Rhinolophus ferrumequinum: one gene and its partner. The protein of the gene in region 1 interacts with the protein of each later gene in a pairwise test. Links are inferred from orthologs where the notes say so. Each region holds a gene or a part of one and is shown on either strand. Other genes may lie near its edges.

Region 1 (8,089 bases):
AAGGCATGAAGGGACTTTGGGGGACTGACAAGAAACATGACACACTTTTTTTTTCTTTTTCCCCCCCAAATCAACTGCTTTTCCCAGCAGCAGAAATAATCAGCCAGGAATGGAAATAGAAAGTTTTTATTGTTCTCCAGCAAGAAAAACTATAAAGTTTTTAGAAATTATAGGAACAAAAAAAGTGTGACTCAAAGGAAAAAAAAAATCAGTGAAATTTAATTAAAGGGCATAAGACAGGATCGGATCATGTGGAACTATTTTACTGCGTGGGAGAACCTAATGTCATGAAAAGACCAACCCTCTGAATTAATAAACACATGCAGTGAGAATCAGAAGAAAAACTAGACGAGGTTGGGAATCGCCTAATGGCCCATCAGTGGGAGAAGTGAACATACGGCAACACACTGTTATCATAGGAAATTAGGCAACAGTTTAAAACAATGTTTAGTTTAGACCAAACTTTCTGAAAATGTAAACCTGATCACTGCTGCTTAAAACATACGAGTGATTCCCAGTTGTTTCATTGTTTCCAGCGGATTATCTCTAATTACACAGTTGTTCTGGAGAAGCAAAACAAGACAGCCTGGCATATACATAGATTCTTTGTCAAGTCTCTCATTTTCCTTTCAAAATTCGTGCAAATGGTGCATCTGACTGAACTTGTTTAAAGCAAATAAAAACATGTTCCCCGAATGGTTGCGTAAAACGGGCACTTCAGAGAAATGCTTCTAGTTTCCTGTGGCCTCTGCATGCTGTCCCCCACTCCTGCTTCTGTTTCCATATGGCTTTGCGCCGAGGAAGCACAGGAACCACAGACGGAGTCCGTGCCCCTGAGTATTACGTGTGACGCCTTTGTGACCTGCCCTTCCTGACTCCTCACCCAGATTTCTCACTGTTTTCTGAGCTGGAATTTTTTATCTGGGTGTTTTGGGTTTTCCTAAAAGTCAGACTGGGTTTTTTCTTTCTCTGAATACAAAATAAATAAATGCTCTTTGTACGTAATTTGAAACAATACAGAAAGACCTGAGGAAAGGTGCGCCTAAAATCTTGTTCCTCAGAGCTGATTACCTTGGGCCCATGCTTGCTGTCTCCCTGGTTTCCCCAAGGCTTTTTTGTGTTGCTTGGAACTGCATTTTAAGATCCGTATTCCAGAGCCACGCCAGGTTATACCCTAGTATTCCGGGTCTCGCCCTGTGACAGTCCAGACTCTGCCCTGTAGGCAGCTTCACGGAGGTCCCACTGCCGGGCTTAGCCCCGACTTGCCCCCACCTCCCAGGACTACTTCTTCCGAAGGTGCATAGCCCTGGACGTCACTTGGCACAGACAGGTCTGCAGCCTCTTTCAGCATGTGACAGACAGACCCTAAAGTGGCCTCTATGACTTTGTTACATCCATGCCTTGAGTGTGGGTGTGACTTGTGGTCTCCTTCTAACCAATGGAAAATGGCTAAGGTGATGGGATGTTGCCTCCCTGATTATATTGTATTGTTTTAGCCCCGTCTTCCTCACAGGTTTGCTCTCTCTGTCTCTCTTTTGCTGGCTCGGAGGGAGTGAGTGGCTGCAATAGGGAAACACCACGTGGGAGGGAACTGTGGGCAGCCTCTAGGAGCAGAGGCGACCACCCCCCCCCCCCACACACACACGGAATGTAAATGCAGTTCTGCAGCTGGGTTTTGCCAACAACACGAGGAAGCTTGGAGGTGGATATTTCCCTCATCATGCCTCTGACGACACTTCAGATACATCCAACACCTGGATTGCAGCCAGGTGAGACCCCCAAGCAGAGGCCCAGCTAAGCCACGCCCGAAAATTCAGACCTACAGACACTGGGCAAAACCACACATGCATTGTTTCAAGATGCTAAGTTGCTAGTCATTCATTTTGCAGCAATAGATAAATAACACACATGAGCCAGAGTCCATGCCAGACACACACTCAAACAGTGAGCCTGCCTCTGGCTCCATGTCCTTACACAGAGTAGTCATCATTTCTGTCTTCTTTCCCCTGCAGGTGTCATGTCCCCACACTCTGTGCAGAGCTCCTGGTCCTGGGGTCCATAGGCCTGTAGCCTCAGCTTTATGCAAAGCTTTGCGTCTCCCCTTACTTCCCAGCTTACGGAGATGTTTATATTGTTTTCAAGGTTTGCTAAGCTTCTTCCCTTCTCTATGTATCTTTTACCTAGTATGGCTTTGTGTTTGAAGTAGAGGAGAATGCCTTTTATATTCATCTTGGCCCAAGTCTCTTTAAAAAAAAACACCAAAAAACTGGTATTATTTATTTATGTATTTTTCTGTTTACAAAAGTAACAGATACTGTACTTATTCTGCCTTGAAACCGCCCTCAGAGTTTGAATTCTGAGTAACACGCACACTCACTCAGAAAGAGTGGGAGTCGGGACAAACCCACACATTTTTTCTCTTCCCTGTTCCCTCCCACCCCAGCCTGCAAGCGGCCCCACAGCCGACATGCTCAGTGGGGTGAACCTTCATCTCATGTCAGGGGAACTGTGGTCTCAAAATGCCATGCTATGAACACCCACACCCCGCGCTCTCTCTGTAGTCATGGTGGAGTAAATACAGTCAAAGCTTTCTGGCCAAAAGGATTTCAAAGGGAGGCCCGGAAACTGAAAGTGCCCGGGAGATCTTGAAGAAGGAGGGGCTTGGGAGGGTAGCCCCACGTGGATGCACAAGGACCCTGGGTCCCAGCCCAGGCAGTGCTGCGCGTATCCCACCGACACTGCACCTTAGAAGTGAGAAAGGAACGATGAACACACAATGACCACTGACTGGCCACTGGGTGGCACACGCGGGAGACAAATCTGAAGAGCACTGCAAAGCCTGGCAAACTGAAAGGACCCCCAGAAAGCTGATGCAAACACACAGCCTGGACCTAAAGACGTTGAGTGTTTGCTAAAGCAAAAAAATGCCAACATTCTCAAGAGTATTTACACAAGACCCAGAGTCTCATAAGGTAATAGTCAAATGATCAGGATACAAACCAAAAGAATGAAGCGTATGAAGAATCGGGAAAATGGCGACATCTCATGTGGGAAAAGGGGATCACAGATGCCACATGTACTTAGGTGACAATTTGTTAGAATTTTCTGACAAGACTTAAAGCAGCTATTTAAAAAAAAATGCTCCAACAATTGCAAATGTTCTTGAAATGACTAAAGATATATAAATCCTAGTAAAGAAATACAAGATGTAAAGAAAATGGAAATTTTAGAATTGAAAAAAAAAGAAATAAAACAATGCAGTGGTTCCTAACTTATTTAACATGTTACTATTGTTAGCAGGCAATTTGCGTCCAGTGTTTTTCTATCATAAATACACGCCTACAAACACTTACATCTTTTTTAAGGAGACTCCGTTGAACCACTGGCTGTGGGTCTCCAGTTTTCCTGCATCCCAGACTCACAGGGCCAAGCCCAGCCTCACTGATAGGAGGGGAGGCATTTCCTACTGGGGTAGGGGGTGGGGTGGGGGTGGGCAGCTCCTACTGGTCTCTCCCTGGGCCCACCTTCGGGGAACATACCTCTGGAGGCCTATTGCAGCCCCTGTCACCTTGTATGACCTGCAGCTGTCTGCATGGGCCGGTTTCTCCTTCACGCCACGGGACACAGGGGCAAGGTGGGCAGCTGGCACAGCACGCAGCCCATCGTAATGGTGCTGCTTTGTTGCTAGTGGTCGTTTGTTTTCCTCTTGGCTTTCACTTGCTTCCTTTCCCTCATCCTTGGACAGCACAAATTTGAGATGTGCTGTGCCTGGGTCCAGTGTCACAGCCACAGAAATGAAGGGCATGGGAATCACAAGGAGCCCTCACCATCTCAGGGAGTTGGTGGCTGTGTCCTCTGCCTGCATGCTGGCTGCTTCAGGCCTGCCCTGTGCGGGGTCTGCCACAGGATGTGCCAGGGCACAGGAGGCACTGGCTGGCACCGTGGCTGAGCCTCTGTGAGCTCCCTGGAGAGGGCAGTGCTGACGAGGTGCCTGCGTGCGGTGGAAAGAGAGGGTCTGTTTTCACAATTTTGCTTCCAGCCTGAGCAGCCTGGCCAAAGTCCCGCCAGGCCCCGTCTGTGCTGCCCAGGGCACAGCTTCCCACAGGACCGTCAGGGTCAGCACCTGACCGGCCAAGCGCGGGGCCCAGCATTGGTCCCCGGCAGCTGGTAGGGTCCACGCCTGACTTCTGCCGGGAGTTGAGCCTCCCTGACTGGCCCCTCGGGACACTGCAGAAATTATTTCCTGTGCGAACATCTGTTGTGTGTGCGTTTATTGTAAGTGCGTCTAATACCTGCAGCTATGCGTATGGCAAGCTCTTCCTCTGAGGTGGTGCCCTGGTTTTCCCTTGTCAGTCACAGCTCTGAATGGGGCAGGGACAGTCCTTTGGCTCCCGTGTGAACAGGAGGGGCTGCAGCTGAGTTGGAGTTCCTGCCCCGAAGCCCACAGCCTTTTCTGCACCAGACGCAGAGCACAGTGATGGCCCTGGGGTCACAGGGCCCTTCATTACAGCTGGGTCATCATGGCTCCTGGCGGCTTGCTGACTATTGCTGGGTGTCCTGGTAAGTATCTGAATCCTGCAGAGGGACATGGGGGTGGGGTGAGTCATGACACAGTGAGAGGACCAGAAGGACAGACACAGGCTGGAGCCATTCCTGTCACCTCAGTAGGTCCTACCAACCCTATCTTACTACCCTCTTAAGAGTGGTTATAAAAAAGTAAGCGACCTAAAACTAGCAAACTAGATATTTGCCGGAAGTCTGATGGATCACGATGGGGATGGTGACAAAAGCAGAAAAGTCTTCAGTCCAACTCTGTGAGCTGCACAGACTTCCTGACCCCCGACGTGTGCTGGGTCACAAAGCAGCTCAGGGTGACCAATCCGTCCCTTTCTCATTGCTGTAAAAGAGGATATTTTCCCAGCCCTGTGCCCCGCCCCCATCAGGGCTAGCTGAGTACAAAACAGTGGGCCAGTTCACTAGTTTCCGCCCCACCCCACAGGCCCCGCCCCCAGAATTTTCTTTCTGTTTGCTCCAGTCTGAGTTAACTTCCTCAACTGCCTGGTCCGGACTGGCAGCTCCCAGGGACCCCAGCTGCAGTGTCTAGGTACTGGGAAGGGTCCAGGCCAGGGTTTGTGGGGGGGACACCACAGCTGGGTGTGGAGGGGGGTGGCAGGGAGGGTGTGTGCCAGAGCTGTAGAGCCAGGACGTGGCCTGGGCAGTCATCAGCCCCTGTCACCCTGTCTGCTTTCACTTTCCCCAGGCCCCATGCAGACAGTCTCGGGGCATCCAGGATGTGAGGTGAGCACAGGCTGAGCAGGGCGCCCTGGGGCCTCGGGAGGGGCACAGCCCCCCTGCCACTGAGCAGCCTCTGTCCCTGGGAATCACCTGCCATGGAGCAGCCTTCAGGCGACCTTCTCTGGTCCCGAGCCACAGGCCCTACTTGTTAGAGGAAACAGGGTCTCCAGTAACTGGTGTTGAATGCTTATTTCTGATTCCACCAGTCAGTTCAAAGAGGCCAGTCTCTAACCGGCCTGGTGTGGGCAGGGGGGCAGGGCTGGGGTCCCTGGCACACCCTTGATATGGTCCCCCCTCTGCCGCCCATTTGGCAGGTGCCAGAGACCCTGTCACCGCCTCATCCTCAGCTCTCTTTCCCCCTCAATCAGGGACAATCACAGAGACAACAAACGCATCCATCTGGTGGCCCTTTCTACCTCTGCTGTCACCCTGCTGGGGTCCCCACGAGACTATTAACCTGGTGCCTGTGTTCTTTGTGGGGTGGGGGTGGGGGTACAAGCGATGTGATCCTCTGATGGAACCCTCCATGACCACCGGCTGTAACTAATTATTCTTATTGTTGAGCAGGATAGGAAGGGTTCACACGCCCTCGGTGAGCTCTCTCTCTCTCTCTGTCTCTCTCTCTGTCTCTCTCTCGGCACTTGGTTCAAGAAAACTTTCAGCCATGATGGAAGGTTCTATGTCTGGGCTGCAGTGTAGCCATCGGGATGTGACCAGTGCAACTGAGAAGCTGAACTTTGAGTCCGATGTAGTTTTACTGAGTTGAGTGGCCACACGATGGCCACGGCCCAGCCCCAGGTCATGCCCTTCTGAGTCCCACTCCATCTCTTTGTCCAGAGAGAAGACCTTGGGACCTGGGGTCAGTGGCACCGCAGCCCAAGTGACACATGCGTCCGTCACTGTGGGGGTTCTGGCTGCTCCCTCTCCGCCCCTGGATCTGATCCTGGAGGTTTTCGGGAGAAGCCATGGCCTCAGCCCCAGCCAGCGAGAGGATAAGGGAGGAAGCCACCTGCTCCATCTGCCTGAACCTGATGGCCGAGCCGCTGAGCATCAGCTGTGGACACAGCTACTGCCAGCTGTGCATAGAGGACTTCCTGGACAAACATGGCCACCAGCAGCAACCTCTAGGCACGTACCTCTGTCCCCAGTGCCGGGCTCCATTCCGCAGGACGAGCCTGCGGCCCAACAAGCAGCTGGGGAACCTCATTGAGGCCATGAAGGAGCTGAACCTCGAGATAACGTGCAAAAAGCACGGGGAGCAGCTCCACCTGTTCTGCGAGGATGAGGGCTGGCTCATCTGCTGGCGCTGTGAGCGGTCACCGGAGCACAAGGGGCACGTCACCGTGCTCGTGGAAGACGCTTGCCTGGGCTACAAGGTTAGTGTGTGGGTCTGGGACGGGGCTTCGGCGGGTCCCCACTCTCATTGCTCCCCAGACCTGAGGTCATCCAGCCGGACACCAAGGTTGCATCCCGAAGGATGACTTTCCCCATCTACTTCTTCTAGAAAATGGCTCAGGATGGGTTCTCCGGGGGTCACGTCCCCACAGCCCATCCTGACCTTGTGTGACCTTGTGTGAGACGGTCAGACTCGTCTTGCAGAGAGGACCTTCTCCCAGCACTAGAACAATGTCCCCAAACCCATACCCACGCACTCCATTGCCCTCACACTGTGTGTGAGATTTGAGGCACCGCTGGGGACAAACATACCATCTTTCAGGCATCCCACAGACAAACCAGGGAAGACAGACCAGCAGAAGGACTTCCCGGAGGCCCCTGGTTTGTGATGGGGATGACTCCTGAAGGGCACATAAAACTTCCCTGTATACAGAAGTGTGGAGGGAAGCGAGGGCGTGCCAGGCCGAGCGGATCACAGGGAAAAGTACAGCCGTGGGAGCTGGGCTGACTGTCGTACCTGAGAGGCAGGTACCAGCTCAGGTCCACATCCAAGTGCAGGGTGGTCCTGGCCTCGGGCACTTGCATATGCAGAATGAAGGTAGACACTGAAAAGAGCTTTCTCACAGTGACAAAACAGAAGGAATGTCAAGGAGTAAAATTCTGATCATTCCTATAAGAAGGGAGGAGAGGACGGTTGTCAGCAAGATTCAGGAAGGGGGCCGAAGGACGTGGAAATGGCTGTGGAGGAAGCTGACCCTGGCTGTGGGGACATAGGGAGAGGACACGTCCTGCTGCTTTACCCCTTCTCTGCCCTGCCTAGATTTGAGGAAAATGTCCCGGGGGGGTAGGGGGGTGGTTCCTGTTCCATCCCCCACGAGGCCGAGGTGAGCTTGTATCACGTCCTGGGCTGTCCATCAGGACATGTCCCTGGGCAGCCCTTCCTCAAACTCCATGGGCAGCTCATTACAGGAATGGAGACATTTCCCACCAGGTAGCTTGAAAAGGGACACCACAGGGTGACGGTTCTGAGCCTTGGACTCGGATTGTGGGTTTGAAACCTTAGCTCTGCCACTGACTCGATGGGTGACTCTGGCCAGTTATTTAATGTCTGCATGTCCCCATTTGTAAATGGGGACAACAGCAGCCCCCCTCACCACACACATGCCTAGGAAGCTGTCACAAGCTTTAAGTACAGTCACCTAAGCAAAGCCTGGAATAGCACTCAGCACCCAGCAGGTACACCCAGCCCTTACCTAACAAGCACCAGGGCCCTTTCTCGCCAACACGGGCACATGGTGAGTGTGCTGTCGGGTGACAGAGGACAGGACCTCCTTCTTTCAGTTTGGACCTGTTTCAAGCTGCTTTCCATGCGAACGTGAGAAACTATTTTGAAAAATAA
Region 2 (7,579 bases), on another chromosome or scaffold:
TCCCGGTTTCTCTTGAAAAATCAAGTCTGGCAACATTTGGTTGCTGTCCCGAATACTGGGGTAGTGGACATTTGTGATCCTTTGGCCGCAGTATCTGAACCCCTCTCCTATGTTCAGGGATTGTTCCCAGTTCACAAGGCTTGGTGGGAAGCAGAAGTCTTTCCCGCCATTCAAGCTATATACCAAGCACTCACTAGCATGATACCCAGGCTTGGCCATTTTGACATGTCTCCCAGGCTTTTAAGTGGGGCGCTAGTTTTTAGAAGAATCCAGTACAGGTTAGAACTGATCAGTGGTTCTGATAGAAATGATGAAAGCAATTCTAGGAACTATGGGGGCAGTAGCATCCAAAGGTCAGCAGCTGCAAGTTTCCTTACTGGATTGGTTCCGTGGAGTAATTCTGACCATGGTTTCAGTTCCATGGCCGTCTTTGTCCTATTTTCCAATGAGCCTGCCTGCTCATTGTGAGCTATTTAATATTCCGTGGCTAAATTCCTTTTCTGCTTAAATCTTCGATCTACAAACTCTGCTTCCTTGAGGTATAGTTTCCACACAACCCTCTTCCTTTATATATGAACTTCCAAGCTACTTATACATGTGAGCTCGTCATCATGTCTCTTTCTCTTTAAAGTGATAGAATACAGTGGTACCTTGATTTTCTAACATAATCCATTCCAGAAGACCGTTTGAGTTCTGAAACATTAAAAAACTGAGGTGCAGTTTCCCCATAGAAAGTAAATGCAAAATGGATTAATCCATTCCAGACCTTTAAAATCAACCCCTAAAACTACAAATTTAGCATGAATTTTACTACCTAATGATACTATGGATCCACAAAATTTACGGCATTTGTAAACCGAAATGTTCATTAACAGAGATGTTCGAAAACCAAGGTACCACTGTATTGATATTGGAAGAGAAGCTAAAGATCCTCTAATGCAAGGATCAGCAAAGTAATGAGAAGTTTCCCAGAGGAGCTGCTCCCATTTCCCCTTACATCTCACTGGGCAGCACTGGGTCACATGCTCACCCTGTAAACCAATCAGAGGACGAGGGGTTGCTGTGATTGGCAACCCTGGAGCAGTAGTTCAACTTTGGCTGAATATTAAAATCATCTGGGGAGCTTTTTAAAATGCCAATGCTGGGTCCCTACCCCCAGAGACCCAAGTTAATTGGTCTGGCTGGACTTCTGGCACTGGAATTTTTTTAAAAAATCCTCAGGTGCTTTTAATGCCATTCCTGTCTCTAGTTCAACCTCCCACCCCTCTCCATTTTACAGGTCCTAATATTGAGGTCCAAAGAGATACTAAGTAACTTGCCCAAAGAATTATACCTTCAAGTAAGAGCAAAAACAAACACAAACAAAACCACACACACACACACACAAATGGCATTTAATAAGACACGTTTGTTTTTCTGTAATATGCATGTGAGCACACATTCTTTTTCTTAGAAAGTGAAGTCATGGAGAGCTCAAGGACTGAGAAGCAGTAGGTAGGGCAGTGGTTCTCAAACTCGATTGCATCAGAATCCCCCGGAGTCCACACAGGTGGCTGGGCCCACCCCCAGAGTTTCAGATTCAATAGGTTTGGGGTTGGGGGAAAGAATAATGAACACTTCTAACAAGTTCCCAGGGGATGTTACTGCTGCTAGTCCAAGGACCACACTCGTATAGTGGCTAAGAGCGGAGGCTATAGAATCGTAGTATCTTGGTAAGATCTGTTTCTGCCCGACACCTTGTCAGAACACGGGCAAGTTACTTAACATGTCTATGAAACGGGGCCAATGATAGTAGCTTGGGCTTATCACAACAATCGTGTGAGTATAATAAACGTATGACACTTAGAACAGTGCCTGACCTATAGTAACTGTCTAATGAATATTAGCTGTTAGCATTCATTCATTCATTGAACAATTCCTTTGAGCCAGGCACTGTTCCTGGCATCAGGAATACAGTCGTGAATAAGTCAAAGCTTAGCCTCTCAATGAGCTTACAATCCACTGGGGAGACAGACAATAGATAACCTTGTAAATACCTAATATAATGTCACACAGAAGAATTCTGTATTCCAAGGAAACTGACGAGCAGGTGCACACAGTTTTATGAGAACTTGGTCCAGTCCTGTTTGCATCTATCAGCTCGAGGACTGGTGGCATCATGCTTCTAATGCAAAGGCTCCATAACAAGATGGCTTTTACTATGGTGGTTGAAGGAAGCCCAGGTTATGGCATTTTAGTCATGGTTCTCCACAGAAATAGAACCAATAAAAAAATGTGTGTGTGTGTGTGTGTGTGATTTATAGTTACACTTAGATTTATGTACATTTTCAAACATTCAAGTATTTCTATATTCTACATTCTACAATAAATATATATTAATATATAACACGTGTAACATATAACATATTGTATATTAATAATACAGTTATATAACTATTTTATATTTTTAATATTTTATATATTCATATTTATATTATATATGCCATAGGAATTGGCTAAAGTGAATATGGAGGGCAAGAAATCCCACAATCTGCTGTTTGCAAGCTGAAGACCAAGGAAAGCTGGTGATTTAATTTAGTCTGAGTTCGAAGACCTGAGAATCAAGAGCACAGGTGTTGGAGGACAAAAGATGGGTGTCCCGGCTCAAAAAGAAAGCAAATTCACGCTTCCTCTGCCTTTTTGTTTTATTCAGGCCCTGAGCAGGTTGGGCGACGCCCACCTGCGTTAGTGCAGGTGATCTTTATTTAGTCTACTGATTCAAATGCCAATCTCTTGCAAAAACACCCTTAGAGACAACCCCCAAAATAATATTTTACGAACTCCCTTAGCTCAGTCAAGTTGACACATAAAAATAATCCTCACAGGCATAGTCACACCAGCCAATTCTTTAAGTTTTGTTTGAGAGGAAACATTTGAAACAAGATGTCAGGCAGGGACTCAGCCCTCATTCCCCGCACAAGAACTCAGGATATGGTGAGGCCGAAAAGAAACAACGGAGCCACAGATAGAGGAGTCATACTACCATATTCTCGATGGCGGCTGGTCGAGACACAGGAAGTAAGATCAACACGATCTGCAATCCACAATCCACTGGCTAACCGCAATGACTAGCTTGCTACCCGCAATTGCTAGCCGTAATCCGCCATGTGCTTCTCTGCCAACCAACTAACCAACCTCCTAGCATAGCCATGGCAGTTATATTAGTGGCTAATGGCTAACTGGTTACAGTGGATAGCCAACTAGTCACAGCTGATGGCCATCTACTACCTGAGCCAGCACCTTTCCACGTGAGGATGAGAGCCTGGAAACTGCTCTCTGGGGCTCTGTCCCCACACAAGAACAGATGGGTGGCCAGCTAGTGTTATTAGGTTGGTGCAAAAGCAATTGCGGTTTAAAAGGTTAAAACCAATCGCACCAATAGAAGGGAAGTTATTCCATTGAATTCTCACGATCATTTGGGGGTAAATATTATTTTGGAGAAGGAGAGAAGCAACCTGCCCGAAGCTAAGTGGCAAAAGTGGCGTGTTAATGATCTGAACAACTAGTATTAGGATTGGCCTGGAGGAAGCAGAGGGTAGAGGCGCTGTCGTACCACGAGCCACATCTGACCCCCTGCTTCTGAACCCCCAGGCAGGCGCTAGGGTGAAGCCATACTGCCATCATGTAATTGCTCACTGTCCCTCTACTCTGCTCCTAACACAGGTGACAGTGACACAATAAAATGCAAGGAGCAGCTACTTCTGAATCAGAACACCCTGACTCCACGCCAGCCTCATCTCCTCTCAGTATTGGCTTTCTCAACGTGTAAAAAACAAACAAACAAACAAACACTTTATTATGGATGTAACAGACACTCTTTCCTGGGAAATACCAGCAACATTCTCCCTTCACCTCCGGAAAAACACTACAAATTTGATACCAATTCTCAGTGTCTTCAGTTCATAGGGACCCTGTCTTCTATGCCTATTAACTAGCCCTTTCCAGGTACACATATTAACCTAATTGGAAGTTTATTGTTTTGTTTTCACTCTGGACTTGTTTCTGGGGGTTGGCTCTCTAAATTCTGTTGGGTGAGGGACATGAATTTGGGAGACAGATTGGAGTTGTGTTTGTTTGGAGTTGTTTTTCAATTCAAAGTACTCACCTCCCTGTTTTGGAGCCAAAAGGTTTTTCAAGCCTCTTTTCGTTTGGCACTTATGTTTAAGAACTGGCGTGGCATTTGGGGTTATTTTTTAGGGCTGGCAGCTTTCTGGTCCTTTGAAGGGCGAGTGTTTGAACTTTGGTGATGGCAAAATTGGCTTTGGCCATGACACTTTAATTTGTAATGATGACTGGCGATTGCAGGGGTGGCCTTACCTCTCCCTACCCCCCATCTCACTGGGCTCAGGAAGCCTCTTGGCACGGAAGAGCGGGCAGCGCGGGCTAGAAGGGGGGAGCGGGAGGGAAGCGAGGCCCGCGCTTCACGGTAACCAGGCAACCGGCGCCTTAGCAACAGAAAGGGGCGGGACCGAGAGAGGAAGTCGGAAGGCTGCGACTAAACCTCGCGATAGTTGCTTTTGCGCGCGAACTCTAAGAGCCGGGGTCCCCGGGTTAAGTTGGGGCTTTTCGGCGTGCAGGCTCCTGGGGGACGCGACGACCCCCGCCGATCCGGACACCTTCAGCACCCCACCATGGAAGCCTCGGCGCACAAGCAGCAGCAGCAGCAGCAGCCCGCGGCGACCAAGATCAGGAACCTGCCCTGGTAGGAGGAGGCCTGGCTGCCGCGCAGAAGGGGTCGGCCGCTCGGGAAGGCAGTGGTCGGGGTGCGCAGGGCGCCGGGCCGCCCCCCGACCTGCGGTGGGAGGGAGCCACAGAGGTGCGCCTCCACACCTCCAGTCCCCCAATTCCCCTCCGTTCTATTTATGACGTTTGCCAGATCTCCCTGGTCCCCTCCGTCCCATTCCTTCTACGGAAGAAGAAAGCGGCTTTCGCACCTGGGTAACAGCACAGGGCTTTGATCCCGCGTCTTCTGACACTGCATTGGCCACGGAGCCCGAATGGCCTCTTCTCTCTTGCCGAAATCTTCGCTGTGATTGGTCAAATTCTAAAACATAATAATAACACTCCCTAGTTGACTTTTACTTAAATGGCTTTCTATTAGATTATCAGGCACTCTCGATGTTTGATCTTTACGAAGATCCTAGGAGGTAGGTATTCTTTATTATTCCAGTTTTACAGTTGGAATACAACCAAAAGGTTAAATGACTAGCCTAAGGGCCAGAGCTAGAAAATAAATTTGGATTTGAATCCAAGTGGGCTGAATTCACAGCCTGCATTTACTTCCACAGCTATGTCCTAATGATGTTTTAAAGGCTGATGGGAGTTCGCTTGATTTCAGAAATCTTGTTCTTGTCTAACAACGGGTTCCATTTGTTTTTATTATGTTAAAAATACGTACAATTTACACTTGTAACCATTTTAAAGTGTACAGTTCCGTGGCATTAAGTACATTCAGAACGCTGTGCAACCATGCCACTGTCTAGTTCCAAAATTTTTCATCACCCCTAATAGAAATCCCATACCCACTGGCACCCACTCCCCTCCCTCCCCCCAGCCCCTGGCAACCACTAATCTGCTTTCTGTCTCTGTGAATTTGCCTATTTTGTATATTTCATATAAATACAGTCAATATCTGGCTTTTTGTGACTGGCTTGTTTTCACTTACTGTGTTTTCATGGTTCATCCATGAATGTATCACACTCCATTTCTTTTTATGGCTGAATAATATTCCATTGTATGGCTATACCATCATTTATTTATCCATTCATATGTTGATGTATACTTGGGTAGGAATTCAGTTTTGAATTCACACTGAAATAATAGGAGCCCATCCAGGTTGAGATTACACGCAGACAGCTGGAAAGGTGAAAGTGGAGCGGAGTTTATCGACTTCAGCCTTATGGACATTTTGGGCCAGCTCTGTGGGGTGGGGAGTTGGGGGGCCTGTCCTGTGCAGTGTAGGAGGTTTAGCCACATCCCTGGTGCCTGCCCACTAGATGCCAGTAGCACCCTCCACCCAACTGTGACAACTGAAAATGTCTCCAGATAGCGCCAAATGTTCCTTGGGGGACAAAACCACCCCTGGTTGAGGACCCCAGGTCTGTATTCAAATTTAAAGGGTTTTGTGTCTCTTCCTCTTTGAGTTAGGATATGAAAGGATTCTTGGGCATATAACAAAACGTTCTTGCATTAATATATGTTGTAATCCATGCTGAATTGTATTTCAGGGTTGAAAAATACCGGCCACAGGCACTGAGTGACCTCATTTCTCATCAGGACATTTTGAGTACCAGTAAGCATCCATGTGTCATTTGCTGTTATCCTAGTTGAAGGACCTGTTACATTTCTTGGTGCTCTTGTCTCTGCTAAGTAATAAGTTGGAAGACTGATTGAGCTTCGTGGAATGTGGCTGTAAGAGTTGCATCCTTCGGATATTTTGATTCCTGCATCTGCCTCTGATTTGCATATAGGGTTGAAGTGCATTTAGCCCAACTCACGGGCCCAAGTGAATGAAGCGACTCTCAGAAACTGATGAGGTCTCTCTTTCTTCCTGATCCTCAGTTCAAAAATTCATCAGTGAAGACCGACTGCCACACCTGCTTCTCTACGGTCCTCCGGGCACAGGAAAGACGTCCACCATCCTGGCCTGTGCTAAACAGCTATACAAAGATAAAGAATTCGGCTCCATGGTCCTGGAGGTAAACAGGAGGGTTATTCTTACTCGACAAGGGACTCGAGTCTCTTAGTTGTGCTAGTTTCATTTCACTTTACAAGTAAGTTGTCCCCCTGGTGGTTGGGAAAGAAGCCGATGTAAAATAAGAATACTTCAATTCACTTTTTACTATAATTGGAATTTTGGTCTGGATGGGCAGTAGCTAGAGGGCAGTTGTAGGGCTAAGTGTTTTTCTGTGCTGTTGACGGCTTATACCCACACGCTCCATGGTCCCCCGCTGAGTGATCGCTCCGTTGCTGGATATGTCCCACGTGCCCCGTCAGATTGACTACAAGCTCTTTTGCCCTCGAGCTCCTGGTTAGGTTTGGCCAATAGGGGCCCTGAGAGTCTGGGGAAAGGAGAATGATGCCTGGTCCTGCTCTGGGGGCCCCCACAGGCTGACAGCGTCCCCCCTGCAGGACACATAACACTGCCTGCTCCAGGTGCCAACACCACGCCCCTGTTAACCCCATAAGACTTGTGGGTGGTAATGGGCCCCAATAGTCCCTGAGGTATTGCATAGCTCTCTTGGTTCCCCACACCCCATGAACACCTTTAAAAATAACTCTTCATGTAATTCTCTTCAAATTGCTGAATCTGAGCATGCCATCTATTTACTGCTGAAACTCAACCGATACACTTAGATTACACAATTCTAAATATTGTCTATTGCACGAAAAATGATGTTTAACTTATTTTGTTATATGTCTTAGAACGTTGCTGCCACTAATGTGCTTACCTCAGTGTATTAAGAACTTGGTAACTTCTGGGTTGCTCTAGGTTTGGTAGCTAAAATAAGCATCATTCTACTCATGCCAGAGGTGCTGT

Evidence for each region.
Region 2: the proteins of TRIM38 (region 1) and RFC5 interact in binary tests that used the Homo sapiens proteins (3 or more experiments, as listed by UniProt). The link is inferred for Rhinolophus ferrumequinum from reciprocal best matches to the Homo sapiens genes TRIM38 and RFC5.

The regions. Positions count from the first base shown.
Region 1 is NC_046305.1:1,629,426-1,637,514, forward strand, and holds the start of TRIM38 (E3 ubiquitin-protein ligase TRIM38), read left to right. Parts: upstream 1-4,993; 5' UTR 4,994-5,104; intron 5,105-6,132; 5' UTR 6,133-6,260; coding exon 6,261-6,671; intron 6,672-8,089. UniProt on the Homo sapiens protein: E3 ubiquitin-protein and E3 SUMO-protein ligase that acts as a regulator of innate immunity. Acts as a negative regulator of type I interferon IFN-beta production by catalyzing 'Lys-48'-linked polyubiquitination of AZI2/NAP1, leading to its degradation.
Region 2 is NC_046308.1:11,466,314-11,473,892, forward strand, and holds the start of RFC5 (replication factor C subunit 5), read left to right. Parts: upstream 1-4,539; 5' UTR 4,540-4,670; coding exon 4,671-4,741; intron 4,742-6,266; coding exon 6,267-6,331; intron 6,332-6,600; coding exon 6,601-6,737; intron 6,738-7,579. UniProt on the Homo sapiens protein: Subunit of the replication factor C (RFC) complex which acts during elongation of primed DNA templates by DNA polymerases delta and epsilon, and is necessary for ATP-dependent loading of proliferating cell nuclear antigen (PCNA) onto primed DNA.